Linked DNA regions of Arabidopsis thaliana. The protein of the gene in region 1 purifies or fractionates together with the protein of each later gene. This does not show direct contact. Each region holds a gene or a part of one and is shown in the gene's direction. Other genes may lie near its edges. The genes, in order: GRXS17, AT5G11870, BSK2 and GAPC2.

Evidence for each region.
Region 2: the proteins of GRXS17 (region 1) and AT5G11870 purify together in Arabidopsis thaliana (affinity purification with mass spectrometry, with the first as the bait; one study listed by BioGRID). This does not show direct contact.
Region 3: the proteins of GRXS17 (region 1) and BSK2 purify together in Arabidopsis thaliana (affinity purification with mass spectrometry, with the first as the bait; one study listed by BioGRID). This does not show direct contact.
Region 4: the proteins of GRXS17 (region 1) and GAPC2 purify together in Arabidopsis thaliana (affinity purification with mass spectrometry, with the first as the bait; one study listed by BioGRID). This does not show direct contact.

The regions. Positions count from the first base shown.
Region 1 is NC_003075.7:2,515,471-2,522,656, reverse strand, and holds GRXS17 (thioredoxin family protein), read left to right. Parts: upstream 1-2,594; 5' UTR 2,595-2,732; coding exon 2,733-2,903; intron 2,904-2,985; coding exon 2,986-3,060; intron 3,061-3,554; coding exon 3,555-4,775; 3' UTR 4,776-5,061; downstream 5,062-7,186. Other genes in the region: ALN (allantoinase), read left to right, coding at 25-123, 225-356; AT4G04940 (transducin family protein / WD-40 repeat family protein), read left to right, coding at 5,605-5,730, 5,813-5,840, 5,975-6,075, 6,169-6,372, 6,481-6,724, 7,107-7,186. UniProt on the Arabidopsis thaliana protein: May only reduce GSH-thiol disulfides, but not protein disulfides. Participates probably to the maturation of iron-sulfur proteins and to the regulation of the redox state of the BOLA proteins.
Region 2 is NC_003076.8:3,822,827-3,829,512, forward strand, and holds AT5G11870 (Alkaline phytoceramidase (aPHC)), read left to right. Parts: upstream 1-2,593; 5' UTR 2,594-2,893; coding exon 2,894-3,053; intron 3,054-3,162; coding exon 3,163-3,262; intron 3,263-3,332; coding exon 3,333-3,453; intron 3,454-3,826; coding exon 3,827-3,948; intron 3,949-4,051; coding exon 4,052-4,173; intron 4,174-4,251; coding exon 4,252-4,411; coding exon of another isoform or gene 4,412-4,415; exon of another isoform or gene 4,416-4,509; coding exon 4,510-4,537; 3' UTR 4,538-4,747; downstream 4,748-6,686. Other genes in the region: SSP5 (SCP1-like small phosphatase 5), read right to left, coding at 1-80, 212-569; AT5G11880 (Pyridoxal-dependent decarboxylase family protein), read right to left, coding at 4,980-5,060, 5,158-5,247, 5,322-5,444, 5,541-5,726, 5,818-5,979, 6,091-6,240, 6,335-6,509, 6,614-6,686.
Region 3 is NC_003076.8:18,891,442-18,899,088, forward strand, and holds BSK2 (BR-signaling kinase 2), read left to right. Parts: upstream 1-2,936; 5' UTR 2,937-3,245; coding exon 3,246-3,321; intron 3,322-3,550; coding exon 3,551-3,768; intron 3,769-4,126; coding exon 4,127-4,262; intron 4,263-4,358; coding exon 4,359-4,598; intron 4,599-4,683; coding exon 4,684-4,769; intron 4,770-4,881; coding exon 4,882-5,070; intron 5,071-5,155; coding exon 5,156-5,428; intron 5,429-5,505; coding exon 5,506-5,757; 3' UTR 5,758-5,965; downstream 5,966-7,647. Other genes in the region: AT5G46580 (pentatricopeptide (PPR) repeat-containing protein), read right to left, coding at 6,069-7,647. UniProt on the Arabidopsis thaliana protein: Probable serine/threonine kinase that acts as a positive regulator of brassinosteroid (BR) signaling downstream of the receptor kinase BRI1. Mediates signal transduction from BRI1 by functioning as substrate of BRI1.
Region 4 is NC_003070.9:4,606,611-4,614,250, reverse strand, and holds GAPC2 (glyceraldehyde-3-phosphate dehydrogenase C2), read left to right. Parts: upstream 1-3,372; 5' UTR 3,373-3,756; coding exon 3,757-3,760; intron 3,761-3,853; coding exon 3,854-3,883; intron 3,884-3,974; coding exon 3,975-4,075; intron 4,076-4,275; coding exon 4,276-4,391; intron 4,392-4,482; coding exon 4,483-4,582; intron 4,583-4,668; coding exon 4,669-4,815; intron 4,816-4,915; coding exon 4,916-4,976; intron 4,977-5,061; coding exon 5,062-5,159; intron 5,160-5,245; coding exon 5,246-5,388; intron 5,389-5,476; coding exon 5,477-5,560; intron 5,561-5,653; coding exon 5,654-5,786; 3' UTR 5,787-6,174; downstream 6,175-7,640. Other genes in the region: GT-1 (Homeodomain-like superfamily protein), read left to right, coding at 15-53, 362-496, 735-965, 1,053-1,252; ST4C (sulfotransferase 4C), read right to left, coding at 6,666-7,640. UniProt on the Arabidopsis thaliana protein: Key enzyme in glycolysis that catalyzes the first step of the pathway by converting D-glyceraldehyde 3-phosphate (G3P) into 3-phospho-D-glyceroyl phosphate. Essential for the maintenance of cellular ATP levels and carbohydrate metabolism. Binds DNA in vitro.

The DNA.
Region 1 (7,186 bases):
TTATAAGTAATGGTTTAATTATAGGGAGCGGTTACGGTTGGAAAACACGCAGATCTTGTTGTGTGGGAACCTGAAGCCGAATTTGATGTAGATGAAGATCATCCAATTCACTTCAAACACCCTGTAAGTACACAGTTTTTTCTAGAAAGATAGCTAATGGTTAAGCTCGAATAACACGAATGTGTAATCTTTATGTTATGTTTGCTTCTTGTGGTGTACAATAGAGTATCTCAGCTTATTTGGGAAGAAGATTATCAGGCAAAGTGGTTTCGACATTTGTGAGAGGGAACTTGGTTTTTGGAGAAGGCAAGCATGCTTCTGATGCTTGCGGGTCTCTGCAACTTGCAACTACTTAACTTAAAAAGGGATTTAAAAGATCTTGATCTGCACCATTTAAACAAATGTAAATATGCGATTAAGAGTTGCTCTCATGTTGCAAGATGGTTGATGTAATGAGTGAGTCTTTTTTGCCAATTGTAAGTTTAAGACTCTCTAAATCTTGTTGTTGGCTTTAAGGTTAGTGGACTCATGTATATATTGTTGATGCAAATAATTTATATCGCTTAAGTAAATGATGTATATATTGTTGATGCAAATAATTTAAAAGTATACATAATATTTGCATTGCTTGTTGTAACTAATGTTAATTTGAGTCAACTAAAAAAAAAGATGTTATCTTTTTAAATCACTTTTTGTAAGTGTTCTAAGTATTTGCATCAGTTTATCAAAATCATATATATGAAAGTTGGTCAAAATCATATATATTTGTCATGTGTCTATTAAATAATTAATGTAAGCTCTTCAACTTCTAATTTATAGGTTAATGATACATTTATTATTTATTTTTATATTATTTTATTTTACATATTTAATGTACTATTACTAAATTTATTTTAATATTACATGATTTTTCAATAAAACCATTTTAATAGTTTTTTCATACTCGAATATTTTTTTTGTAATCCAAACTCAAAGTATGAGTATATAATAATCATGGATTAGTTAGTGATTTGAGTAGGTTATTCTCTTAAATTGATATTTATATAATAAATCACCGAGGGTGTAGAATACGTACAAACCTCCATCATTTCGTCTGAACCCTCATTTTGCGCCGATTCTGTCAACAATGGTTGGAGGAAGAGGAAAACCTGGAGGAAAGGGAAGACGCAGTGTGAAGAAACAGGAAGAGAAAGAAGTTGAACGTGGTAGAGATGAGTTTTTATCAAAATCAAAAACTCCTCATCCAAAAGGATTTCCTCCAATGCAAGATCTAAGCACCAACGTGGTCACTAATAGAGGTGGATTGCAGCCTATGAAGGTAATGTAGTAGTATATTGTTCGCTTTTTGTTAATTGTTTTCGGATCAGTATACTTTTTTTTCTTTTTTCTTAAGGAATTGTGGGATGTAGAATATGTTCACATCCCTAAGAAATTGAGCTTGAAAACGGTTCTTGACAATATGAAACAAACTATGGCTCAACGTGGGTTCTACATCCGATCTGTAGATGCTTATGTTCGGAAAAGGTTTCTCACCGAGAACAAACCCCTTATTAAACGTCTTCGCCGATCAGACGTGAACATAATTGAATCACAAGAATACCCAGAGGAATATCTAGGTAAGACCACGTTATATTTATCAAAGTTTTGGTAACCTTAATGACGTCATTAAAGAGTTTTGTTTTTGATTAAATTTTTCTAATGGCATTATCATGTAATTAATTACAAAAATAAAGGTTACATTTAAAATGTACTTCCCAAATAATATAGTAGGATAATCGATGTTAATTAAATAAAATGACTTTCAATTAATTGTTTTTAAAAAGTATTATGTAATTTCATTAATTAATATGAAGGCAAACTTTGCATACTAAGTTTTATATTTTTTTACACCACCAAAAAACCAAGGTCACTATATGTAAGAAAACTATGAAACCTCTTTTTTTGTGGGAGAAATGTAGGATTTTGACAAATTAAGTAAACATTTACATCACATTTTATAGTCGATGATTAGTCGTTAACTAGTATCAGTTTCCATTGATGTAAATTTTGTATCATTTTAAATAGTGATGTTACACAAAAATTAATAGATGCATCAATTATCTAAATGATGTAAGCTTATATATTATATCATTTAAAAAAAAAGATAGTATAATAAAATAACTAAAAATACAAATGCTAAAATAATTGTGGATTTTTAATATAACAGAATTAAACAATTCCACACATACAAAACAAAGGAGAAAAAAAGAATTGTAACCTAATTCTTAGACTGTTTTATGAGAATCCAATTCGATGAGGATTGATATATACAATTCCTCTAATTAGTATTAATTTTAGAAAGAAAAAAATAGGATTAAGATTTTATTAGTCAAACTTACTTTTAGTAGTTTTAATTTAAATGTATCTAATATTTTTCAAAATTATTTTATTTTTAAAGATTGTTATCACCTAGAATTTTAACATTTTTACCTTACTTAATTTCCAATTTTTTTTTCCTTCCGCTGACATATATAATTTTACTATTTTTATAAAAAGAAATTACATAAGTGAGCAATTTTAGCATCACATTGGGCACACAAAAACCCTAATTGTATCGTTAGGTCCTTTTATTTTGTTATATTTACATAAATCTCCTTTCTTTCTCCAGCAACAGAGTGTATTCTGCTCGATAATAAATTGGTAAATCACAACACAAAAAAAAAGTGTTAAGAGATCCTTCTCCCTCTTCGAAGATGAGCGGTACGGTGAAGGATATCGTTTCAAAGGCGGAGCTTGATAACTTGCGCCAGAGCGGCGCACCAGTCGTGCTTCACTTCTGGGCTTCTTGGTGTGATGCTTCGAAGCAGATGGATCAAGTTTTCTCTCATCTCGCTACTGATTTCCCTCGTGCTCACTTCTTTAGGGTTCGTCTCTGTTCTCTTGACCAATTCAAAATTTTATCACTTTCAATGAGGTTTTTGACTGTTATTGGTTTTATCTTCTTAGGTTGAAGCTGAGGAACATCCTGAGATATCTGAGGCTTACTCTGTTGCTGCTGTGCCTTATTTCGTCTTCTTCAAGGTAAAGTTACGTTTTTTTTGTTCCCTATGATTTGATCAAAACTTAGGATTTAGGGTTTTTGTTTTTGCTTAAAGTTGTTTGTCTAATTTGGTAGAAGAAGAAGACATTGATGAAGTCATACTTATTGATTCTTTATGTTGCTTTGTTTGGTTGCAATTTTCTGTCTTTATAGCATTGAGAGTGTGTTCAAAAGTTTGAATCTTTGTCCCTATGTTTTGATCGAAAGTTTAGGATTTAGGGTTTTTGTTTTGATTAGTTTGCGTCTCTGTTAGATTACTGAAAGCTGTTTATCTAATCAGGTAGTAGAAGAAGATGGTTCGCCTATCCATTTAGCTCCAGACTTATTGATTCTTTGTTTTAATTGGTTGGTTGCAATTTTCTGTCTTTATAGGATTGAGAGTGTGTTCAAAGCTTGAATCTTTGTCACTGCACTGTAATGATTGTTCTGAAAGTTGTTACTTTCTTCTGACTGTGAATTCGTTTTCTTATTGAAGGATGGTAAAACTGTGGATACACTTGAGGGTGCAGATCCATCAAGTTTAGCTAATAAGGTTGGCAAAGTTGCTGGTTCTAGTACTTCTGCGGAGCCTGCTGCTCCTGCAAGCTTAGGGTTGGCTGCTGGGCCAACGATTCTTGAAACTGTGAAGGAGAATGCGAAAGCTTCTTTACAAGACCGAGCTCAGCCTGTATCTACCGCCGATGCTCTCAAGAGCCGTTTGGAAAAGCTCACTAATTCTCACCCTGTCATGTTATTCATGAAAGGTATTCCTGAAGAGCCTAGGTGTGGGTTTAGCAGGAAAGTAGTTGACATTTTGAAAGAGGTTAACGTTGATTTTGGAAGTTTTGACATACTATCGGATAACGAAGTGCGAGAGGGTTTGAAGAAATTCTCTAACTGGCCAACGTTTCCTCAGCTGTACTGCAACGGAGAGCTTCTTGGTGGAGCTGATATCGCAATAGCGATGCACGAGAGCGGTGAACTAAAAGATGCTTTCAAAGATCTTGGGATCACGACAGTTGGTTCAAAAGAAAGTCAGGATGAAGCTGGAAAAGGAGGAGGGGTTAGTTCAGGAAACACAGGCTTAAGTGAGACCCTCCGAGCTCGGCTCGAAGGTCTGGTCAATTCCAAACCAGTTATGCTGTTCATGAAAGGAAGACCAGAAGAACCAAAGTGTGGGTTCAGTGGGAAAGTGGTTGAAATCCTCAACCAAGAAAAAATCGAGTTTGGGAGTTTCGATATCCTCTTAGATGACGAAGTTCGCCAAGGCCTTAAAGTGTATTCAAACTGGTCAAGCTATCCTCAGCTTTACGTGAAAGGCGAGCTTATGGGTGGATCAGACATTGTCTTGGAGATGCAAAAGAGCGGTGAGCTGAAAAAGGTCTTGACCGAGAAAGGGATCACTGGAGAACAGAGTCTTGAAGATAGATTGAAGGCACTGATCAATTCCTCGGAAGTAATGCTATTCATGAAAGGTTCACCAGATGAACCGAAATGCGGATTTAGCTCCAAAGTTGTGAAAGCATTGAGAGGAGAAAACGTGAGTTTCGGATCGTTTGATATCTTGACTGATGAAGAAGTAAGGCAAGGGATTAAGAATTTCTCAAACTGGCCAACTTTTCCTCAGCTATACTACAAAGGTGAGTTAATTGGAGGATGTGATATCATTATGGAGCTAAGTGAGAGTGGTGATCTCAAAGCAACTCTATCCGAGTAAGTAATATATACAAGTCTCTGTCTGCTGGTTTGCCTTGGTGAGAGAGAACATTTCAGTTATGGTAATAATATGTTTTAGGTGTTACAAACATTGATATTGTTGCTTCTCAAGCTTTGTCTTGTTATTTCTATTGCTGAGTCTATTAGATTCATAACTATTTTTCTCTCTTTGTATCAACATAATCTTTATTTATGGTTATCTTGACCACATTTGCTTTTAGACTGAGTAACAAAACAAAGAGTGGTTTAAACAAAGAAAGCTTGATCCGACGGCTAGGATTAACACCAATCTTTCTATGTTACAGAGTTTCTTAAGATCCGACGGCTGGGATTTTGTGTGATTAAACTCAAATTTCTTAGAATCAAACCGAATGGAAATCATTTGTTTAGAGTTTAGACCAAACTGCAATCGAGCATTAACCGAGACTTTGTACATTTAAACAAGATTTAAACCAAAAGTCATCATAATTTTAAAATTGATACTGATATTGACAATTAGTTAAATATTAAACTAAAATGGTTTTGGTTTTACATTTCAATGACTTTTAGCCAAAACCGAACCATAATTTTACCAAACCAAATTTAACATTCTCCAAACCAAATAAAGAACCTGTATAAACCGAGCGGACACTTAAACCGGAAAATAAAATTAAAATTCGGACAAAGAAATTTCGTTAAACCCTAAACCCCAAAGGTCTTGTTTGCTGTATCTCCTCCATCGCTCCTGCGCCGCGTTTTCTCTCTCAAGCTCTTAAAAAACCTTTCTTTGATTTGATAATCCTAAAATCGTTTTTCCGAGGAAACCCTAATTTCTTGTTCGAACTCGAAAGATGGGAATTTTCGAACCGTTTAGAGCAATAGGTTACATAACGAGTACGGTTCCGTTCTCCGTCCAGCGATTGGGTACCGAGACTTTCGTCACCGTCAGCGTCGGCAAAGCTTTCCAGATTTATAATGTAACGCTCCCAATCTTCATAGTTTCACTTGCGTGTTCTTTATTCATTCGATTCTGTTGTTAATTTGGTTCTCTTGTTGCAGTGTGCCAAGCTCAATCTAGTCATAATCAGTAAGTTTTTCCTTCTTCTGAAACCTAAAGTTTTGTCCTTTCAATCATTCTCTTACTCAAATTCATGCATTTAGAATTGGGTTTTGTCTATGCAGTGTAAATTTTCTTATAATCTAATTTGTGTTATCTTAAAGGTCCTCAGCTTCCAAAGAAAATTAGAGCTTTAGCTTCTTACCGAGACTACACATTTGTTGCGTTTGGCAATGAAATCGCTGTCTTTAGGCGTGCTCATCAGGTATATCTCATTGTAACTATAGTTAAGTTGCTGCTTTTTTTATATCTATGAGTACTTTGTTTATAGTTGGAATTCTTGTGGGTATATCTATAGGTAGCAACTTGGAGCAAACATGTTGCTAAAGTTGATCTTCTACTGGTGTTTGGAGAACATGTGCTTAGTCTTGACGTGGAAGGAAATATGTTCATATGGGCATTCAAAGGAATCGAAGAACATCTAGCTCCAATTGGAAATCTTCAGCTTACTGGAAAGTTTACCCCTACCTCTATTGTTCACCCAGATACCTATCTCAACAAGGTGAGTCATACTTGGTTCAGGATTTCAGTTTTTTTTCCCCTGGTGTCTTCTGTTGACAAGCCTTTCTAACTCTTTGCATGTTTCTCTTACTTGGAACCACATTGGTAGGTTCTTGTAGGGAGCCAAGAGGGTCCGCTGCAGCTATGGAATATTAATACTAAGAAGATGCTCTATCAGTTTAAGGGTTGGGGTTCATCTGTCACCAGTTGTGTTTCATCCCCTGCCCTGGATGTTGTTGCAATTGGTTGTGCTGATGGAAAGATCCATGTACATAACATAAAATTGGACGAAGAGATCGTAACATTTGAACATGCCTCGCGAGGTGCTGTTACTGCTTTGTCTTTCAGTACAGGTAAACACCTAAGCCCTGTAGTTCTATTTGTAAAATCTTTGAGCGCTTCTTGGTTTTATTACCTTTTAAATCTAATTTCGTAGCGGATAATAGTTTATCAATCTTTTCTTGCTGATAGATATCCTATGAGTGTAGTGACCAAAAATAATTTCGTCCATTTGTCTTTAAGTGGAGCTAAATATTTATTTTTCCATTACATAGCTTTACCATCTATGCACCCATTGTTTCATGAATTAGAATTGTCCATACATGTTTCAGGCTCAAGAGATCCATTAGTGTAGGTTGTAATTTTACTAGTAACTTTTGGTAGTAACCGTTCTATAGCTAATGGAAGTTCGATACTTTCCAGTTCTAACATGTGTTGTTTATCCTGTCATGTTAGATGGACGTCCCCTTCTTGCGTCTGGAGGTTCCTTTGGTGTCATAAGCATCTGGAATCTTAACAAAAAAAGGCTTCAGTCA
Region 2 (6,686 bases), on another chromosome or scaffold:
ATGCTCTTCTTCATTAAAATTCACTGGGAATGTGAAATCTACCTCACCACACGGCTCTAGAGTCGAGTGCACAAGAGTTTCTGCAAAATAAAACATATATGTTATAGTAGCCTTAAAACCTGGTGAGAAAAAACTAAGATTTGTGTGCCATTAAAACCTGCAAAGAGAGATACAATTTTAAACAAACGAATCAACTGAAAAGTAGCCTTACCATCAAGGTCTAGGACAAGAGAAATAGGAGGACAGCTTCGGGTTTGTTTAGGAAGCAAGACCGGCCTGAAAGTTGGGACAACAGAAGACAGGTTCGGCAAGTTCTTGATAAACAGATAAGGATCAAACTCATCGAGCTCCTCATCCTCTTCATCCTCCATGCATACCGAAGTAATAAGGGAATCTTGACCACGCTCGTCAACACATTCCAGCTTAGAGCTCTTCATCGCTAGATAAATGGCAGAAACCGAATCCAAGTTACAATTTGGATCTACGGTACTTGTATCTAGAGCAAGCAATCGATCATAAGGGTTCTGTGCATCCAAATCCCGAGAAGAAGGAGAGTCATCATCTTCCATTAAAACCCTATTAACATCAACTTGTAACTGAATTAGACAACAGAACTCAGAGCCTAATGCAACTACTCCACAATTTCAATATCTGACCATTATTCACATTCATACCCAAACACTACTATAAATCTACAAGTACAAGGTTCAATGATAAAGTTTTCAAATTTACCTTGTAGAAACTCTCTTCACTCCTGTAGCTACCGACAAAGCAGAGACACCGGAGATAGATCAGTTCCCGAGAGCCGTCAAATTACAAACAACTAGCTCATACACTATCTGAGAACGAAAACAGATCTTGGATTAGAAAAGGAGCAAAGCCCTAGATACAATTCACAAAGAAGGAACCAAAACAAAAAAGTACCCAGATTTAAAATATTTGAAAGATAAAAACTTTGGAGCCAAAAGAAGCAAAATTCGAAAACTTTTCATCGCGGAAAGTGACAGAAATCAATATTTTAAGAAAGAGAACCGAACCGGAACTGAAACCCACGAAATCGATTTCAGATAATTTTCAATTTTGATATATATATCTAGGGCTTTTAATACGAAAAAAGGGGGGAAAAAAGACATGTGGAAAAATCAAAGCTTTTTACTGGGATAAACGATGGATAAATCTAATCTTTCCGCTTTCTCCGCAAATTTCTCTGCAAATTTCAAAATTTCTTCAACGAAGCGCACACCTAGATTAAACTTCAGTAGCCCAGAAATTCGAGCTGAGATTGAAGAGCTAAGAAGAAGAAACGGAGAGGGAGAGAGAGAAAAAAGAAAACCCTAGAGAGAGTATATTCGTCGGAAAAAAGTACCTCCGATCAAAAACGATTTCTTCTAGCTTCCGTCTTCTTCTCTCTCTCTCTTCGAAATAAAAGAGTAAAATATTTGCTCGAAATGAATGACAGACGACTATAGTCTACATAAGCAATGAAATATTTCATTTAAATGCCCTCATACTTTATTAATATTTCATTAGTAACCTCGATAGTTTTTGATTTGTTAAACTAAACCCCAAACATTCGAAGAGTATTAGGCCGGTAAATGATGACGTCATCTCCGGTTGGAGGATAGTACAACGATGCCGTAGAGAACTAGAGAAGTGTCTTTTTCTTAAAAAGGAACCTTCTGTTTTTTACAAATTGAACATGCATGTTATGGATTATTGGAATAAAAAAAACGTTTTGAAGACTTTTGAATATTTTCTTTGAAAAATGAAATTATACAAGATTATGTGACTTGATTAGATTTGATGTTACAAGTTAAGTTGGTTTAGAATAATCTTTGTTTAGTACTACTATATATAGGATGATCTATTTTTCATTGGTTATAGCTAGAATGCTATATAGAATTGTGGAATGTTGTTTCATGTCATGATTATGCAGATTTATTACCAAACACATAAAAGATTAAGAGGTATGACATGAATGACGTGTTCTGCTGATTATGTTTACGACGAAATCCAAATAAAAGACAATTTGATCCAACACAAACTGAAAAACACTCAACCTGCCAATATTATTCAAAGAAATGAACAACATCAAACTTGTATTCAAGCATGGCACAATGGATGATTCAGAGAGGACATGATGGCTTAAAACAACATTGATATATTTACGTTCCCAATTTGAGCTTTAGAATATATGTTTGTAATTTGAGAATACATATGATTGTTTCATCTTCTTCCCCATCTTTCTCTTATACTCTTTCGTTTTCTTGAATACTTTGTAGCATAAAGAGCATTTAGACTCTTAGTTCATTCTCTTTTGAACTTTGTCTCATGTTAATCCCATTTTTGTTTTTGTTTCATACATGGCTATCTATGTGGGTTACTTCTAAGAACTACAACAACACATCAAGGATATATAATTTAGCAATTTTCTTAGTTAACTTTTCCTTCTCCTAGAAACACTAACCAGGAAACAGTTAACTAAAACCACTCCCGCCAAGTTTTGAAACGTTGTACATATATATAGGAGTGAAAATATTACTTTCAGAAACATGGGGTGGGATATATATAAGATATAAAAATGTAAGGGGTTACTTTACAAATAAAATAGAATAGAAACAAAACGTAGACGTTTAGAGCGGTCCTCGTCAACTACGACAACATTAGAGATCGATCGTCGTCGTCGTACCCGTCAGACTCAAGGAAAAAGAAAAAAAGAGATTCCGCCGCACGTTGTTCTAATCGAAAAAAGCGACTCTCAATAAATCTGTCTTCCCTTTTCTTTCTTAAACTGGAAGAAGATTAATCAATCAGACACAACAGAGATAACTGATTTATCCACTTCAAACAATACAAACCTTTAAAGTCTTCACCTTTATAGAGAGAACTTTTAATGGTGTGGTTGACGAATCAACAGATAGGGAGATGGAAAAGGAAACGAATTTTGGTTGTGGGATCGTTCCTCTGTTGGTCAATCATCATGTTCATCACTCCCAAAGTTCCTCTCGATTCATTTCGCCATCATATCTTCGCCGATAAACGCAATTTCATGGGTATCATCATCATATCACACTCTCTCTTCTTTTTTTTTTATCTCTCTCTGTCTCTGTGCATGTGTAATAACGAGAGACAGGTGTTTTGTGTGGGTTTGATGATGAACAGGAGTGCCTAATACATTGAATGTGATGACCAACTTTCCCTTTCTTATCGTTGGAGTTCTTGGTTTTGTTCTTTGCATTGGAGGAAGCTTCTTCAACATAAGGTATCATTCTCTTTCCCTTTTTTGAGTTTTATTTTGAGTTAGTTTAACAATTTGAGTTGTTGTAATGCAGTTTAAATGGTGAGATCTGGGGATGGACACTGTTCTACGCAGGCATTGCAAGCTTGGCTTTTGGTTCTGCTTTTTATCATCTCAAACCTGATGACAACAGAATCGTCTGGGACACTTTGCCTGTTCGTTTTTCTCACTTTACTTTTCTTCGGAACATGAATCTTCTTTCAGTTATGCATTCATTGCTTCTTGATTAGTGATGCGGTAATTGTATATATTGACAAGCACATTGTGAATACAAAAAGTTGAAGAATCATCTTATAGCTATGTAAAAAAGCTTAGATTAGACTTCATGGTTTTTCTTGGATTGGTTGGTTCTACAAGCACATAGTGAAGTGAACACAACTCTTATAGCTAATGGAAAGAAGCTTTAGAGATTTTTCGGGTGTAGAGTTGTGGTTTTTGGTTTTATTGAATGGAAAGTTGTTTTTGCTCATCATTTTTGATGGTTGGTTTATGAATAGCTGTTTGTTGATTAATGACGGTAAATTGCAGATATTGATTGCGTATTCGTCGCTTTTCTCTAGTTTTTTGGTTGAGAGAGCGGGGGAGAAAGTGGGACTTAGTTGCCTCATCTTGCTTCTATTTATATCATGTCTCAGTGTTGCTTACGCCAGGTAACATTAAAACCAAGAAAGCATTACCTCCTCTGTATACATATATGTTCATGGTTTTAGTCAGGTTTCGGATTGAAATTATATGTGTCTTAGTTGATGGCAGAGTGTTTAATGATCTCCGGTTATGCATGACGTTCCAGTTGATACCGTGTCTGGTGATTCCCGTCATGGCGGTTTTGTTACCTCCCAAATATACACACTCTAGATTCTGGCTCTGGGCAACAGGTTTTTAACTCAAAACCACATTTGCGGTTTTCTTATTAGAATCCACGGTCTTCTGATATCTGCTTATCATGAATGCAGCGGCGTACACTATTGCCAAGATTGAAGGACTTGCAGACAACAAAATATACAATGCAAATCGATATATCATCAGTGGGCATTCACTGGAGCATTTGTGTTCTGCCGTGGCTACGCTTTTACTTACCATTATGCTTTTGTATAGAAGCATTCGGTTTAATAGGTAACGTTTTTTCACTGACTCTTTCTCTTTGATCTTTGAGTTCCTTGAAACCTGAGAGGATTTTTCACTTTTCTTTTGTATGATGGAAACTAAAACAGATTAGGTGATCTCAAAGGCCGTCCTTGACATTCATTACTGACTCCTCAAGTTTTTTTTCTCTTGTATTTAGATGCTTCTGGATTCTTGTATTACAAATTTTGTTTGGTTGCTAGATAGATTTTGACCCATGATCCCACTAAAACATCGTTAGCTTGGTGTAATCTTGGTTTCTGGTTCTGAAACAGCTTTGGCTTTAAGGTTACTTATTCAAGTCTTATATATGTGTTTGGACAATGGACAATTTTACATGTAGTAACTAAAAAGAAACCAAAAGAATAATCATAACTCACAAATACACCTTTTATTTTCGGTCTTGACTTGTGACCTGTTTCTTATTCATATGATCACTTTATTGAGGACTTTAAATCATAGCACAGAATGTGGAAAAATCCAAGACAGCAATAGCATTATAGAAACGTAATCATACAATTCATCTAAAATAGCAACAATGATGAGTAAATCTCGGAGTTCATAGTCCTTCAAAGAAACGTAAATGGTCATCGAATGTCTCAGCATGCCTGATCTTAGTGATCGACCCATCTTCTTCAACCTGCAAAAAGAAGAATATAAATCAATCACTTTCTCTCAGGATCTTGACCCTCCGCTAAATTTCCGCAGAAAACGATAATAAGAAACAGTATTGTTACCCAGTATTCCGGGGGACGCATCTTGAGATTGTAAGTGGAAGCCATACTCATACAGTATGCACCAGCGTCATGAACCACCAGACCAGCTCCCTGTAACGTATACAAGAAACTAATTAGATTCCATATTACTTGAGCTGCCAAACATAATCAGATCCTTATAATACCTGTGGAGGAGTGGGAAGCTCTCTGTCTTTGCCCAAGAAATCAGCAGATTCACAAACAGGACCCACTACATCGAATTTGGTAACCTCTGCTTCAGGCGGTGTAGGAGAGACCAACTCAATATGCTTTTGCGTTAAAAAACAAAAACAAGAGGATGTTTAGCTATAGTTCAAAGGGACTAGAATCTGCAGATGCTGTTGTGAAAAGTATATTTGTTTTACCTGATAGGCATCATAAAGACTGGGACGGATAAGCTCAGCCATACTTCCATCAATCACTATGAAGTTTTTAGTTCCATTCGTCTTCACACCAGTTACATGGTTGACGAAACAACATGTGTTTGCAATCAGTGATCTCCCTGGCTCGATTATTAGATTCAGGTCTCGTGAAAGAACCAGCTCTCTTACCTATGAAACACATCCAGGATTCTAAAGATTCTACCATTCCAGTACTTTTGAGATCAAGATAAAGAAAAGAGTTTTGAGCTGTTGTTCTTACGGTGTTGATAAGATCCATGGGTGTAGGAAGGACAGCGCCGGCATGATAATAATCTATCCCTAAACCACCACCAATGTTCAAGTAGCTAACCTCAAAGCCTTGACGCCGGATTTCATCAATGTATTCAATCATGAGAACCGCAGCATCTCTGAATATATCCACCTGAAATAAACAGAACATACGTGAATATGCAAAGCTCAAGACTCAAGAGTTAAAATTTAAGAGATTGATTACATTAAAACACAAATTAAAAGGAACTATAGTCGGAGTTACCTTTGTAATGGTAGAACCAAGATGACAATGAGCTCCAACAAGCTTCAGCTCTTTGGGATGTGCCTTCACTTCATCCAGAAACCATTGAAGCTTCTCGTTCCTAATACCAAACTTCGAGTTCTTGTTCCCAGTAGCTACATATGGATGCACCTAAAATGGTAACAAACAGAAAAAGCTCATTCATATCCAAGCTAAAGAATAGATTCTAGGACATGCTGCTAAAAGATTGAAAATTTAACCATACCTGAGGATCAACATCAGGATTGATACGCAACAACACATTGACCTGCTTACCAGAAATTCTTGAAGCTTCCACAATGTTATTCAAGTCAAACTCACTATCAACATTTACGAAAACACCTTCTTGAGCAGCTAGAACTAAATCTTCCAAAGACTTTCCATTTCCATTGAAAATACACCTATTCATTTCATCCACACCGAAGACATGGTCAAAAACTACACATCAACATGAGACCAAATAAAAAAATATTCAAACTTTATTATTGGGGATAAAGAATCGTACTTTGTGGGATCGAAACCAGCAAGAAGAGCAAGCCTGAGCTCATTTCCACTAACCAACACAGCACCACAGCCCA
Region 3 (7,647 bases), on another chromosome or scaffold:
AACATGTCCAACTCTGTTCATTAGGTCTTTCATCATGTGACACTCTTGCATATCTGAAAACTTTTATTAGTGAATACGATTTAGATCGGTAATTTCTTTTGAACAAGATGAAGGATTTTTGGGTCTTTGAATTGAACGAACATTGGACTCTTGTGGAGCGTAAGATAGGGCATCATGTATTTTTTGTTCTCCAAAATAATATTTTGTTTAATAGAAATCATCTATATATTAAAACACTAAACCAAAGAGATATAATCTCTCGTAAGATTATATGATTTTGGTAGTAATCTCTCTTTCAAGAGATCATAAAAAAATATCTTGTAAACACTAAACCAAAGAGATATAATCTCTAGTAAGTTAATATGATTTTGGTAGTAATCTCTCTTTCAAGAGATCATAAAAAAAGATCTTTTACAAGATACATTCCGCATCGAACAACATTTTCTATACGTGGTTTCACGCACAAAGGTCGCTCACTAGCTGGAGTAATGTGGTTTGGCAAAATTATGTCAGTGAGCAACTTCACCAGGAGACCATATAACTGCATTACCATTTCCTCAAAGCCCCTATCCCAAAAATAGCTGTAAATTAACACGGTGGAGTAAATATGTTGGGACAAATATTGCATGAAACCAAAAAAATTCATAATTTACCATAAAAATTCTTTTAAAAAAAATCTGAGACCTTAATTTTTTCGACAATCCAAACACAACAGAGACAGAAGTAATGTTTTAGTATGGGCATTTTTGTTGTTAGCAACGCTTTGTCATGTAAACTTTTGCTACAATGATCTTCATGGATGTGTGAAACAGAGGCTGATTTGGTAAACCTTTTTCAGGTATCCCACGCCTCTTCAATGAGCCAAATTTATGTTTTCACACAATGGTGAGTCTTAGTTTTCCATTCCTAATGAGTATAACTCTCTTATGTTCATTGATCTGATACTTTTTCTATTATGATGTATTGATGTTCAAAGATAATCCCACAATGTCTTCATTACCAAAGCTGATATTTCTTTGGACGTGAGAAATAAAAGATCGCCGACATTTCTACTGAACACGCTTCTTGCAGATCTTATTCAGTACCGGTAAATTCTGTTGTGTAGTTCTCTAGAGAATAGTAATTTTCTTGACCATGCATCTAATGAGAATAAGGAGTTTAGGTTAATACTAATATCATTGTGTATATACTTGTCTCTTCTATTGGGGAAGCAGGTGAGACCTTACATTTTAGATCTTGGCAGCACCAACAAGGCCTACATTAGTGAGAGTGTTGAATTGCATCTCTTCTTAATTGTTTTGTTTTCGTGGTTTAGATAAAACGTACGTTAGTAGTGACCTTTGTTTTTCTTTTTTCAGAAAATACATATTGAACCACAACGCTACTATGAACTTTTTGAGAAACAGGATTATAATTAAGATAAAAGAATTAAAAAAGTGTGAAGGAATTAAAATTTTAATTTCAATGAAAATAAGGGGCCAAGTTGAAATATATAGAATATACAAAAAAGAAATTGTACAACTATTTTCCTTTTGTATGAAAATAAATTAGTTTTTTCTTTTAGCAAAAAATTAGTTCATGTATTTGCATTGCATCAACTAAAATAGTTATATTAAAAAAAGGATTTTTGTGTAGCTGTGATATTTGGAATAGAAAATCCAGAATAATAATATCGAAAATTGTTTGCTTTATCCCCCTTTCTTTTGTAGAAATTCTCATATGATTAGTGGATGATTCGGTCCAAGTACTATCATTTAAGGATCTGTGTAGTATTAAAATCTCGAAATCTCTATTCGTTATTAACTTTGTCGGTGAAGGGGTTGATATATAATAAACCGAAGACTTTTTGTGTGAAAAGAATCATGTAATAACGGTACTTATTCATTTTGTACTTATACTAAAATAAATACCGATTATGTTGGTGGTAGACTTCTAAATTTTAATTAGCTTTTTAAAAAGACCCTTAATTTTTAATAAAATTGATGGAAAGAGGAATAGTTACTTTCTATCTTCGGTAAAATTCAGGACCCAAGAAGGTCGAGGCACGTGCCCCATGATAGACTTGTCATGTGATGTGACCTATTTTCTTTGTCCAACAATTTTTTAAAACAAATTGTCATAGGCTAGAAGTCGTCAAAAGTTAATAAGCAAAAAACGCAATATTTCAAAAATAAAAAATTTAACAAGAATGAATGACACAAACCTAATCGTCTTGACATTTTATCTCATATATCAATAATGCTCAATCGAGTGTAAATACTTTTTTTACATAGTAAAAGGCGAATAAGAGAGCAGATCATGTAGCAATTATTTTCACTATTATTGTTATTGTGTTGTTGACTTTGATTTTTAGTTTTTAATAGCAGGGTACAAATTTGTACCTTCAATTATGTCACCAACGAGTGTTTGAGATAAGATTAGACAATAGTAAACACAAAATTGATGTAAGCTATTTAACATGTTTATTGAACTGTAAATAATTATATCTGTTTTAATATATTTTTTAACTATTTTTTTTCTTAATTGATATTTTATTGTATTAACACTCCTTCTTATTAACTTTGCAAAATAAACTGTCATCTTGTAAATTATTACCAAATCTTAACACTATTATTATTGACTTTAGAATCTAAGATATACCTAAATAATTTCTTAAGGCCAAAAAAAAAATTATCATCTTTTTATTTAAGTTAATCTAAGATATAAACATTAAGAGAAAGTTGCAAAATTAAAGAAAAAATATCTATCTTTACCTGGATACAAAACTTATACTTTTGGATAATTCATATGAAAGTCTCTCTTCTAATGTAGTAAAAACTTCTACATTTCACAGCTAAAAACTGAAACCCAAATTTAAAATTTCGTGTATAGTACCGAGGAAAAAAAGTATTTGCAAGCAAAATCTAGAGCAGAAAAATTTAAAGATCTTTTGCTTCACATGACTCTATTGTTTTTTTCTTACCTCTATTTTTTCAAGTCTGCAGCTTTTTGAAGCTATATTTTTCAGATCTTTCACTCTCTCTCTAGCTACTTCTTTTTGTCTTTAAGTTTTCAAATTTTATTAAATTTTTATATTCTACTGCCTCCTCAGCTTCTCTCACAAAGCACAAATCCAAGCCCCAAATCAAATCCCACCATTGTTTTATTACCTCAATCCAAGAACACTAGACACAACAAAAATCTCTGTTTCTTATCCAAATTTCTGATCTTTGTGGAGAACAATATTTTGATTGGATGTGAGACAAATGGGTTGTTTACATTCCAAAACTGCTAATCTTCCTTCTTCTGATGATCCATCAGCTCCAAACAAACCAGAATCAGGTAATAATACTAATCTCTTAGATTCTAAAAAACTCACATTTTGTTTGCTCACTTAGTAAATCTGCAGTTTTTCGTCTGTTCTTGTTATGGGTTTGCTTTAATTTGTGGGGTTAGGGTTTGTGAAAGGCTTAAAGCAGAGAAAAAGTTATAAAGTCTCTTCCTTTTTGGAATTAAACTCTTGTTTAGATTGATTTGCCTTTTCGGGGTATGTTTTGTTATGTGGTTACAGTAAATGGGGACCAAGTGGATCAGGAAATCCAAAATTTCAAAGAATTTGAACTAAATGAGTTGAGGAAAGCTACCAATGGGTTTAGTCCTAGCTGCATTGTCTCTGAAGGTGGAGAGAAAGCTCCTAATGTCGTTTACAGAGGGAAGCTTGAAGGGAATCATCTTGTAGCTATCAAGCGATTCTCTAGGCAATCTTGGCCTGATGCTCAACAGTTTGTGGTAAGATATCTGAGAAAAGGTCAATGCATGATTTGTTGTTCATTGATTCATTGTCTGATTTTAGACCCTGGGTGATTCTGTTGGACTATCTCTTAGGCAAACCGCATCAATGACTAGTCCAAGGAATGGTGATTTAGGTGTAGTTTTTAGTTACAGAAGAAGAACAAGGCATCATTTTTCGATAAAAGAATAAGCGTCCCTGAGTTTGGTTACCACTGAATTGTAGAAAAGTCGATAACTTCGGGTTTAAAGCTGCTTTTAAATCTTAGGATACGACTAATGTCTTGACTGTATATCTTGACTGCTTTTAAATAGGAGCTTTGTCCTGGTGTTGACCTTGTTTGACTTGTGAAATCAGGTGGAAGCGACTGGTGTTGGGAAGCTTAGAAACAAGAGAATAGTTAGTTTGATCGGTTGCTGTGCTGAAGGAGATGAGAGGTTGTTGGTGGCAGAGTATATGCCCAATGATACTCTCTCAAAGCATCTCTTCCACTGTAATAGTCTTATCTTTCTCTCGTTATAAGCTTGGTTTAAAGTCTTCTTTAGATGATTTACTCTCTTCTTTCTGTGTTTGTTTGCATTGTTTGCAGGGGAAAAGCAGCCACTTCCATGGGATATGCGTGTTCGAATCGCAGACTATATTGCAGAAGCACTTGATTACTGCAATATTGAGAACCGAAAAATCTATCATGACCTCAATGCATACAGAATCCTCTTCGACGAGGAAGGTGATCCTCGTCTATCTACTTTTGGTCTTATGAAGAACAGTAGAGATGGCAAAAGCTATAGCACAAACTTAGCTTATACTCCACCTGAGTTTTTACGGACAGGTAAAATTCTTGATCTTGTGAATCGTAGTCGAAGACAAACCAATTCATTATTGAAGATTAAAGTTCTCTGGTTTTTCTTTTGCAGGTAGAGTCATTCCTGAAAGTGTGATATTCAGTTATGGAACTATTCTTTTAGATCTTTTAAGCGGCAAACACATTCCACCTAGCCATGTATGTGCTTCCAATGTTCTAATTTCCTTCATTTTATCTTACTTTTTTGTCAATTGCCGAGGATTTTATTTGTGGTCTTCTTATCTGAATTGGTGGTGATGTTTCATATCAGGCCCTTGATATCATAAGAGGGAAAAATGCTTTGCTTCTTATGGATTCATCTCTTGAAGGGCAATATGCGAATGATGATGCGACTAAATTAGTTGATCTTGCTTCAAAATGCCTTCAATCAGAGGCAAAGGATCGACCAGATACCAAATTTCTTCTCTCTGCAGTAGCACCACTACAAAAGCAAGAAGAGGTTTAAAAGAATCCCTCCTGAAACCGACCATATCATGAATTTCATATCCAAATTTGTTTATCCTGGATTTGATTTTGTTGCTTAGGTTGCTTCTCATGTCTTAATGGGCTTACCAAAGAACACAGTAATATTACCAACTATGCTTTCTCCTCTTGGAAAGGCCTGTGCAAAGATGGACCTTGCGACATTTCACGACATTTTGCTTAAAACCGGTTACAGAGATGAAGAAGGTGCAGAAAATGAGCTTTCATTTCAAGAATGGACACAACAAGTGCAGGAGATGCTTAACACAAAAAAGTTCGGGGACATTGCTTTCAGAGACAAGGATTTCAAGAACTCAATTGAATACTACTCCAAGGTGAGAGGAAATAGCAACAAATCCATAATTCTCGGTGTTCGAAAAGAATTTCTAACCTCTGTATCTATGGTTTCCAGTTGGTGGGGATGATGCCGGTTCCTTCTGCAACAGTTTTCGCTAGACGGGCTTTCTCCTACTTAATGACAGACCAACAGGAGCTTGCACTGAGAGATGCAATGCAGGCACAGGTGTGCATACCAGAATGGCCAACAGCTTTTTACTTGCAGGCTTTAGCGCTCTCAAAGCTCGGAATGGAGACTGATGCTCAAGATATGCTCAACGATGGCGCTGCATATGATGCTAAGCGACAGAATAGCTGGCGCTGCTAAGCTATTAGAGGAAGTCCCAAATATTTATGGGTCTTTTCAGACTGTAACTGAAAGGTGTGTATGCATGTAAGAGAGAGATGGAATGTGTTGTTTACTTTTGTGAAATGAGAGCTTCTTTTTTTGCATGAATCTTTATGAAAAGTCAAATCTTTTGGGGAAAGAGAGAATAAGACTGCAAATAACTAATTTGATTCCTTCTTCCTTATGGTAATACAAAAAGATGGAAAATTCAATATGCTATTACAATTATAAACAACTTTACTGGGAAAAATAATGTTGCTTTTTAGTTTAGGATAACAGATGATGATACTTCATGCTTGAGAAGTAACTAAAGGTGGAAACTTTGATTCCAACCATGACACCAAATCCTCCTTTGTAGCCACAAAGATACCTGGCCTATCGCTCTGTCTAAATGGTGCAGAGAGTTGTTGCAAATGCAAGGCGAAAGAGTTTGCTAATCCCTGTGAGAATCTGTGAGTTCCTGTCCCAGTTTGCGCCAAAAACAGCTCAGGAAGTTCCTCTTGGCGTTTAATGATGTTGGCAAGTGTTCTCATCCACTCTTCGAGAGCGGTCTCAGCTGCACCAACTGATAATGACCTCACATCTAGGCTCCATTCTTTTATGGTCTTGTTGTGTAGTCCCGGGTATAGACCAAAAAGTGTTCCTAAGTAGAGAAGCTCATGAGCTCTCTCATGCCGGTTGTTGCCTCTGCATATATCTATCAAACAGTTGCAGAAGGGCCTTCTTGCCTCTACTTGGGTTGCATTGATCACTAACTTGAACTCTTCTTTTACAGTCTCATATTCGGTTTTCTCATCTACAATCAGATTCACAAATGTCACCAACTTCTTATTAGCTCGCTCCAAACAAGCCATAACCTTTTCAGCATCTTCACTACTCTCACACAAGGCCATAACTGAAAGCAGACACCCACAGAGCCTATCGTCAGGCTTAACTCCCCTTTTAATCGAGAGATCAAACACATAAACCACATCATCAATCCTTTTAGCTTTCCCTAAGCATTGTACTAAACAAGTGCATCCCATTACATTAACCTGAACCCCAGCTTTCAACATCTCTTCAAACAACTCCATCGCCTTTTCGGCTTTTCCACCACTCCCATATATATTCAGCATTGCTGTGTAACTAAAATTATCAGGTCTACATTGCACAGACTCCTTCATATCATTAAACAGCCTCTCTGCTTCTTCCTCCAATCCAATATCAGCACACATATTCAACAACGTATTGTACAAAATGAAATCCATCGGCCACTTCTTTGCCTTCATTTCCTCCCACAACTGAAGAGCATCTCTCGCCCACCTCGCTTTTCCATAAATCTTTACAAGAGCTGTCAAAGTTTTCTCATTTGGAGTTAAACCTGCCTCAAGCATCTCATTAAACAAACTCCTCGCCAAACCCGGTTTCCCTGCTCTCCCCATAGCTTCCAACAAAGTATTATACACAACAACATTAGGCTTCACATCCATAGATTTCATCTCTTGCAAAACATACCTAATCCCATCATAATCTCCAGCTTCACCAAACATTTTCCCCAACACAGAGAACGCTATAGCATCAGGTTTCCAACCCGTAGCCACCGCTCTTTCGTACAAACTAAGAACCTCCTCAACTTTTCCTGACTTGGAATAAACATCAAGAATTGCTGAGTAAGTGACCTCATCAGGCATCAGACCTGTTTTATACATTCTCTCAAACCACTCAATAGCTTTGTTGTAAAGATTGCACCTTTTAGCACAAGTGATGATTGTCGAATAAGTAATGTTATCAAGCTCAACACCATCCTTCACCATTTCAAGTGCCATCTCCTCAATAAGCTGAAATTGCCTCCCAAATCTCAGAGACTTCATTGTAACATTGTAAAATATA
Region 4 (7,640 bases), on another chromosome or scaffold:
ATCTTTCATTGTAGGTTTTGATGATACGAGCATTTCTTTTGGATCCGTTGAAGGTACTTATCTATCACTATTAGTTTGTTTATTATAGTATCTTGCTATGTATACAAAGAGACGAGCTTTTGTTTGTCTACTGCCTCTTGAAGTTGTCTTTTAAGTTGGTCGAAAACATCTCCCTGAGTGAGCAATAGTAGAGGTATGAACTTGCTTAGTGAAGTGAACATTTGGGACTGAAACAAATAGTAAACATGACTGTGCCGTAGAATTCACAGGCAGTTTCTGTGTTAGATGGTTTAGTTTTGTTTCTAGAGGATGTGTGTGTGTGTGTGTATGTTTGAAAAGTGTATATATATCTATGTTTCAGCTAATGGCAGGCCAGCCTTAAACCTTGAAAGGCGTCTTGATCATGATGGTCATCCTCTTGCAATCACTACAGCAGTTGATGCTGTTGCAGCAAATGGAGTTACTCCTTGGAATTGGAGAGAGACTCCTGGAAACGGCAAGTCCTCAGAAAAAGCTTATATAAACTTAAGCCTCAAAGTTTAATTTTCTATAAGGCTAAAGATATGTTTTTTGAACTGTATGTTTATGTTCCAAGCATGGTGTAATATGTGTAAGAATCCACGTTTTCTCATTTTGAGGTTGCTTCACAGCCTCTGCTCCTCTGCTTGATTTATTCGTTCGGTCTCTTTATAACTGAGTAGAGCTTTTCATTTGTTTCATGTTTATACAAGCAGGTGATGATAGTCATGGTCAGCCTTTTGGTGGTAGGGTCATAACAGTGAAATTTGGTGACTATACAAGAAGAATCGGTGTTGATGGTAGTGCAGAAGCAATCAAAGAGGTAATCAGATCTGCTTTTGGGTTAAGAACTCGAAGGGCTTTTTGGTTAGAAGATGAAGATCAGATTATTCGCTGTCTTGACCGAGACATGCCCTTAGGGAACTATCTACTCCGTCTGGATGATGGTAAGATTAAATTTGCCACTATTCGTATCTTTTGAACTGTGTGTGTGTTTTTTACTGAATTGTCAGTATGCAAAACCCATCTTGCAGGACTGGCCATTAGGGTTTGCCATTATGATGAATCCAACCAATTACCAGTCCATTCAGAAGAGAAAATCTTCTACACTGAAGAAGACTACCGCGAGTTTCTGGCTCGACAGGGATGGTCAAGCCTGCAAGTTGATGGTTTTAGGAACATAGAAAACATGGATGATCTTCAACCTGGTGCTGTGTATCGAGGTGTGAGATGAGGAAATGAGATCACAAAACTTCTTCTCCAATTCTATCAACAGTTATCTGATCAGAAAACAGTCCCCTGTAGATATGATCTCATTCTCTTTATACATTTCTTCTTTTTTTCATGTACTTGCTCAAATATGAAATATCATAACTGGCATTTACCGTACAGACCAAGAAGACCTCAAAATAGATTTTTGGTCTGTTACATTTGTAAGAACAGAACATAAGAGAAGTGAATAAATTGTTCACAATCAGACGAGCGAGTGTTTGTGTGTGGTATCAGAGTCATTCTTCATCCCTTTTATTGTTCTTGTATGAAATGAGTGTGTTCGACCTTGTCAATCTGCAAAGCCAGAGAAACTTTCTGAACTTATACTACTGAGAAAACACTATAATGATTTGATTAACAAACACTAGTATCAAAGAATGTAATTCAACCACTCTCTTGATCCAGGTGAACGGTACAGCCACATCGGTATCAGTAAATGCTCCCAACACAACAAACACACCTTATCCAACCGCCAAGCCGATTAATGTCTCTCTCTCTTACATGTTTCATGGAGACAAGGCAAGCAAGTTATGCTGGAAGCAACTTGTCTCATTATAGCTTGAATCTCCCTCGTGATCTCCTTATTACTTTTCTCCTTTGAGACAGCGTGAAAAGGAGGAAGACAGAATCAAGACAGCATAAACATCACAAACATACAAATGAAACTGAGTTAATTGAAATGTTTATGCATAAATAAACCAACTTCTAGATCTTAAATATCACGTAAGTGGAATAACATTGGTTATAAGCAGATCATCAGGATAAGATTCCAATAGTTAAAGTTTTGCGTCAATAATTGTTTTTGTCGAGAAGGTTTGCATCAATTATTGCATCTTTCTTTCTATCTTTTTTTTTCTTTCTCTTAGAATCGAATTTTAACATATACTTTGATAATGATATATTGTGGTTCTTTTCACTTCACGATTACTTTAGAACATTGTGAATAATGACACTTCAAAATAAAAGGGATAAGATCAGAAATAACATATGAAAATTCCACAAAATCACTACAAATAATTCAGATAATGAAAAAAATACATGTACGTTATGTTATAAAATTCTCAAATATGGTTTTCAGCAAAAATAAATTTGGTTTTTTACTACAAAGTACAAACCAAAGTAAATTGATTTTACAAAGAAAAACGAATTAGAAAATCGTTTTTAAATCATAGAACTTATTCAGTCGAAGAGAATGGCTGACACTTGACGGGTCAGTTATAACTTATAAGTGGACTCTTGGAAATGATCATGAGTTATAGAAAGATCACAAACTTCAATTTATGATATATTGTTGACCTCAGATAATATTTTAGCTATTTATTGGATGTATAAAGATCCATATGAATACCAAAAGAAGGAGTTTTATAACCATTCACCTAACAAAAATGAAATGGAAAAAGAAAAGAGAGCAAATAAGAGGAGGAGAAGAAGAAGACTTTTGGCAAAAGCCAAGAGTCATACCTATTAGTCTATTACATAAGGTGTGATGTTTTTTTTTGCTGTCACATTCCATCTGACCTACCAAAGCTCTCAAAGTGGAGCATCTATTGTGTCTTGGTATAGAGTCACGATTAGATAAATATACAACACCATATGTACTTGTGTCAAATTATAAATATTTGAAACAGTAAGCAACCAGTAATTCGATAAAGACGTCTACAAGCATCTACACATCTAAATTGATTAAAACAAAACACCTTTAAATATAGTGTTTATGAAGTCAAATCTTCACCTTGATTATTCTAAAACAATGGTTGGAGTAATGTTGCTGAATGTTGAGTGAGAATTGACATTTGAGAGTAACTTTCACTATAATGAACTGGATGATAAAGTTGATCCGATAATAATTGAATTTACCATGAATGGTATCACAAGATACATGTATAGAAGACAGTGGTGTTACTTGTTACGCAAAATTAAAAAATGAGCATACTATTGCAGTTACTTTGGATTTATTAAGGAAAATTATGGTTTGACAACAACAATAATACAAAATCTTATGAAAATTAAATAAAAAGAAAAACAAATTTGGCTATTGGCAAAGCTCATTGGCTGTCAAAAGGAATATATACAAAATCTGCTACGTTGCAGTCTTGCGTGCACCGGCCCAGCCCATAGGATTAGAGTATTAAACCTCGAATATTCCATCAGCCTGCGCGTGAATCCAAGCGCCATTAGTTTCCCCAAATCAGTTCTTAATCCTACCCATAAACGATGGGTAAAAATGGTAAATAAGAAAGAAAGTAAAGTACAATATAGTAATATTAATTAGTGAATCTAATCTATTAGCCTTTTTCCCAAGAAAAAATCTCAGCCACTCGATCATATTTTCAATTTTCATCATCACGTTCTTCTTCTCTTTTAAATAACCCTAAATCCTCACCAAACCCAAACCCTCACTCACTATTTTCACATTCTCTTCTCTCTCGATATCATCTAAATCTCTCTCGATCTCAATTTCGCAAAATGGGTAAGCTTCTCGCTCTTGTTGATCTGCGATTCTTCGATTTATTGTTCTTTCGTTGATACTTTTTGAATCTGATCGTAATTTTGGTTTGTGTAGCTGACAAGAAGATCAGAATCGGAATCAACGGTGAGTGTTTTTCTTATCGAATTCCATAAGTTTTTTGGTTAGGTTTAAGTGATTTGGATCTGTAGAAGCTGAGTTTTGAATCTTCGTGAAGGTTTCGGAAGAATCGGTCGTTTGGTTGCTAGAGTTGTTCTTCAGAGGGATGATGTTGAGCTCGTCGCTGTTAACGATCCTTTCATCACCACCGAGTACATGGTTCGTTTCTTCTTCTCTTCGATACTAGTTCGTATCTGGATTTGAGTTAATAGTTTTATCTGAATTTTTGTTAATATACATGATGGTGTGTGCTGTTTATCATATAGATCTGAGAACTTGCTTTGTTGTATTCTTCTTCTATGTTGATTCTCTGTAAATTCGTTTTGACTGATTGTGTATATGGTATCGATTTGTTGCAGACATACATGTTTAAGTATGACAGTGTTCACGGTCAGTGGAAGCACCATGAGCTTAAGGTGAAGGATGACAAAACTCTTCTCTTCGGTGAGAAGCCAGTCACTGTTTTCGGCATCAGGTACATAATCATGGATGATTTTATTATAGTGGTTCTCTGTTATGTTATTGAGAGTTGTGAAATTCTGATTTGTGGTGTTTTATTTTTGAAGGAACCCTGAGGACATCCCATGGGGTGAGGCTGGAGCTGACTTTGTTGTTGAGTCTACTGGTGTCTTCACTGACAAAGACAAGGCTGCTGCTCACTTGAAGGTTTGAACTTGGATCTTTTATATAATAGTCGAGAACTTGTTTATTTAAGATCTATATCATCATCATATTGTTTCATTGTTATTCAGGGTGGTGCTAAAAAGGTTGTCATCTCTGCCCCAAGCAAAGATGCGCCCATGTTCGTTGTTGGTGTCAACGAGCACGAGTACAAGTCTGACCTTGACATTGTTTCCAACGCTAGTTGCACCACTAACTGCCTTGCTCCTCTTGCCAAGGTATCTTTTTCTGTTTCAACCCATAAACTTGTGTAAATTGTTCTGAATTCTGAATTTTAAGTTGAATCATTTCTCTTACAGTTGCAATCTATTTGTGCAGGTTATTAATGACAGGTTTGGCATTGTTGAGGGACTCATGACCACTGTCCACTCTATCACTGGTACGTATTTATATTTGGTTTCATTGGGTTGATTCTTGAAAATATGTATATTTGACTCAATAGTAACTGTTGTTTTGGTGATCAGCTACTCAGAAGACAGTTGATGGTCCATCAATGAAGGACTGGAGAGGTGGAAGAGCTGCTTCCTTCAACATTATTCCTAGCAGCACTGGTGCCGCCAAGGTATCATTTCAGCCTCTTATTTGTTTTAATTGATTTTGATTGAGAAATTATGTTGAATCTGATTTTTGTATCATGGTTGTTGATAGGCTGTTGGGAAAGTGTTGCCATCCCTCAATGGAAAATTGACCGGAATGTCTTTCCGTGTTCCAACCGTTGATGTCTCAGTTGTTGATCTCACCGTTAGACTTGAGAAAGCTGCAACATACGACGAAATCAAGAAGGCCATCAAGTGAGAACCATCAAGGACCCTCAGTCCTAACCATATCATATTAGAATTTATTGGGTACTTACAAAAGATTTTGGTTAAAACTTTTCAGGGAGGAATCTGAAGGCAAAATGAAGGGAATTTTGGGATACACTGAGGATGATGTTGTGTCTACCGACTTTGTTGGTGACAACAGGTATAAAAAATATTGTCTGTAGAGTGATATACAGTTTTCTGATCTTATAAATGGCGAGAGCAAATAATTGAAATATTGGGTTTGTGTTTATAGGTCAAGCATTTTCGATGCCAAGGCTGGGATTGCATTGAGCGACAAGTTTGTGAAGTTGGTGTCATGGTACGACAACGAATGGGGTTACAGTTCTCGTGTCGTTGACCTTATCGTTCACATGTCAAAGGCCTAAGCTTACACCGGCGAGAGTTTGTGTGTGGTTGAGTTCGTACTGTTCTGAATAAAAAAAAGGAGAAAAGAAAACTCGAGTTGTTATGTTTTTTCACTGATTCCATGCGCAGTCATGAGAGTTTGTAGCTTTTGTCTTTTTGCTTTCTCTTAATGTTTCCCTGCTTTATTTACTGAAACCATTGGTTTGGTTTTTTATGTTAATTAAGTTTTTAGTTCATTACTTTCTCGTGCTAACTCAAACCCAACTGGCAACTGGAACATTGAACGTCCTCTTCTCGTATTTTTAATAGTCTATTTGTACTTGAGCTTCTCCACCAAAATGGTTCTTCCTAGTCATATAGCTCACATTAGGTCAATCATCTTCGATTGAAAGCAAAAGTTACTGAGACGGATTTATTGGTTGATAAGCATCGCCACATTGTTTTTTAACGAATCAGCCAAGTTTGTTGAAACGGAGGATCAAAAATTGGAATTTAGTATTTCCTTGCAATTGCGAAGATCCAATTTTTTGGTTGACATCATTGTAAAATGATTGATATTATAATTTTATTTGCATGCTAACTTTTAAAGTTAATAGGAAACTCGTATTTTCAATAGTGACATGTTATTGCATGTGATAATACGATTATTTTATTACTTTATTAGTCGTAAATGAAGAGTAACATGCCACTATTGAAATGGTACTCATGAGATCACACGCTAGTTATTAAAGGAACATAGAAGTAAAGAAGGTTTTTATTGCAACATCAAAGAGAACAAAAACCACACATCAGTTGTAATGATACATCAAAGTTATATATATGACAATGTAACTTTTATTATTAAATAACGCATTCAAGAACACTTTTTCTGCAGTTCTTCACAAAGCACACGCATAATTCTAGAATTTCAAACCGGAACCTTTGAGTTTCTCCTCGACGATCATATCGATTTTATTTACCATTTCAGAGGTCATATAACTCTTCCAGTCACCAACTTGTCCTTTACGGAAATAAGTCTTGTAATCTACTCCACCCAAGGATCCAGTTTTGTTGATCTCCAAACTGCTTAAATTACTTAGAGAGCAAAGTTCCAAGATCTTGTCTACAGTTCCGCTATCTTCCTCTTCCTTAGTGAATGGACAATCCAAGAACTCTGCAAGTCTCTTGACCTGAGTACGAGGCTCCGCTTTCAACTCCTCGTACCTCATGAAAAGAAAATGCTTAGGATCTTCCAAGCTGCCTCGCCAATAGCTCTGTGCATGGTCCCAAAAGGGACCGTGTAGGGTAACTCCGTTGCAGAATGACTCAAATATAGCCTTGAAAGAATAATTCTCCGCTCGAATGATCTTTTCATTTTGGCTAAAATCTCCCCATTCTACTCCCTTGTTGGCATTGAGGAAACACCAAAGTGACACCAACACGTCTTTCACGTTCCTGCACACGTACACTACCTTGCAAGGAGACTTCTTCAAGGGTAGTTTAAGCGCGTCCAAGGACATATGAGTTGAGAACAATCTCGGAGATGATGATGATGATGATGATGATAAGAACTTGGTCAAGTCCGGTTTTGAGCTGTTGAGATACAGATCTAGCTCGAGGTACGGTACTATCTCATGAGGGTTATGAGATAGCAGAGGATGATGATGATCTTCTAACGAGTGTTTTGATCGTTGAACGAGTGCAAATGTGAGTGCTTTGAGCCAAGTCGTGCCCGATTTGTAGAAAGAAGCAACAACTATATCGGTTTCTTGTGGCTGAAAACTCGAGTGTATATTGGGGATTGATTGGAGAACGTCTTCGTAGTACCAATATCCTTGGTACTTGAAAAGCTTGTTCCCAAGGTAATCTATCTCCCAAGGAAGTGAAGAGATCAA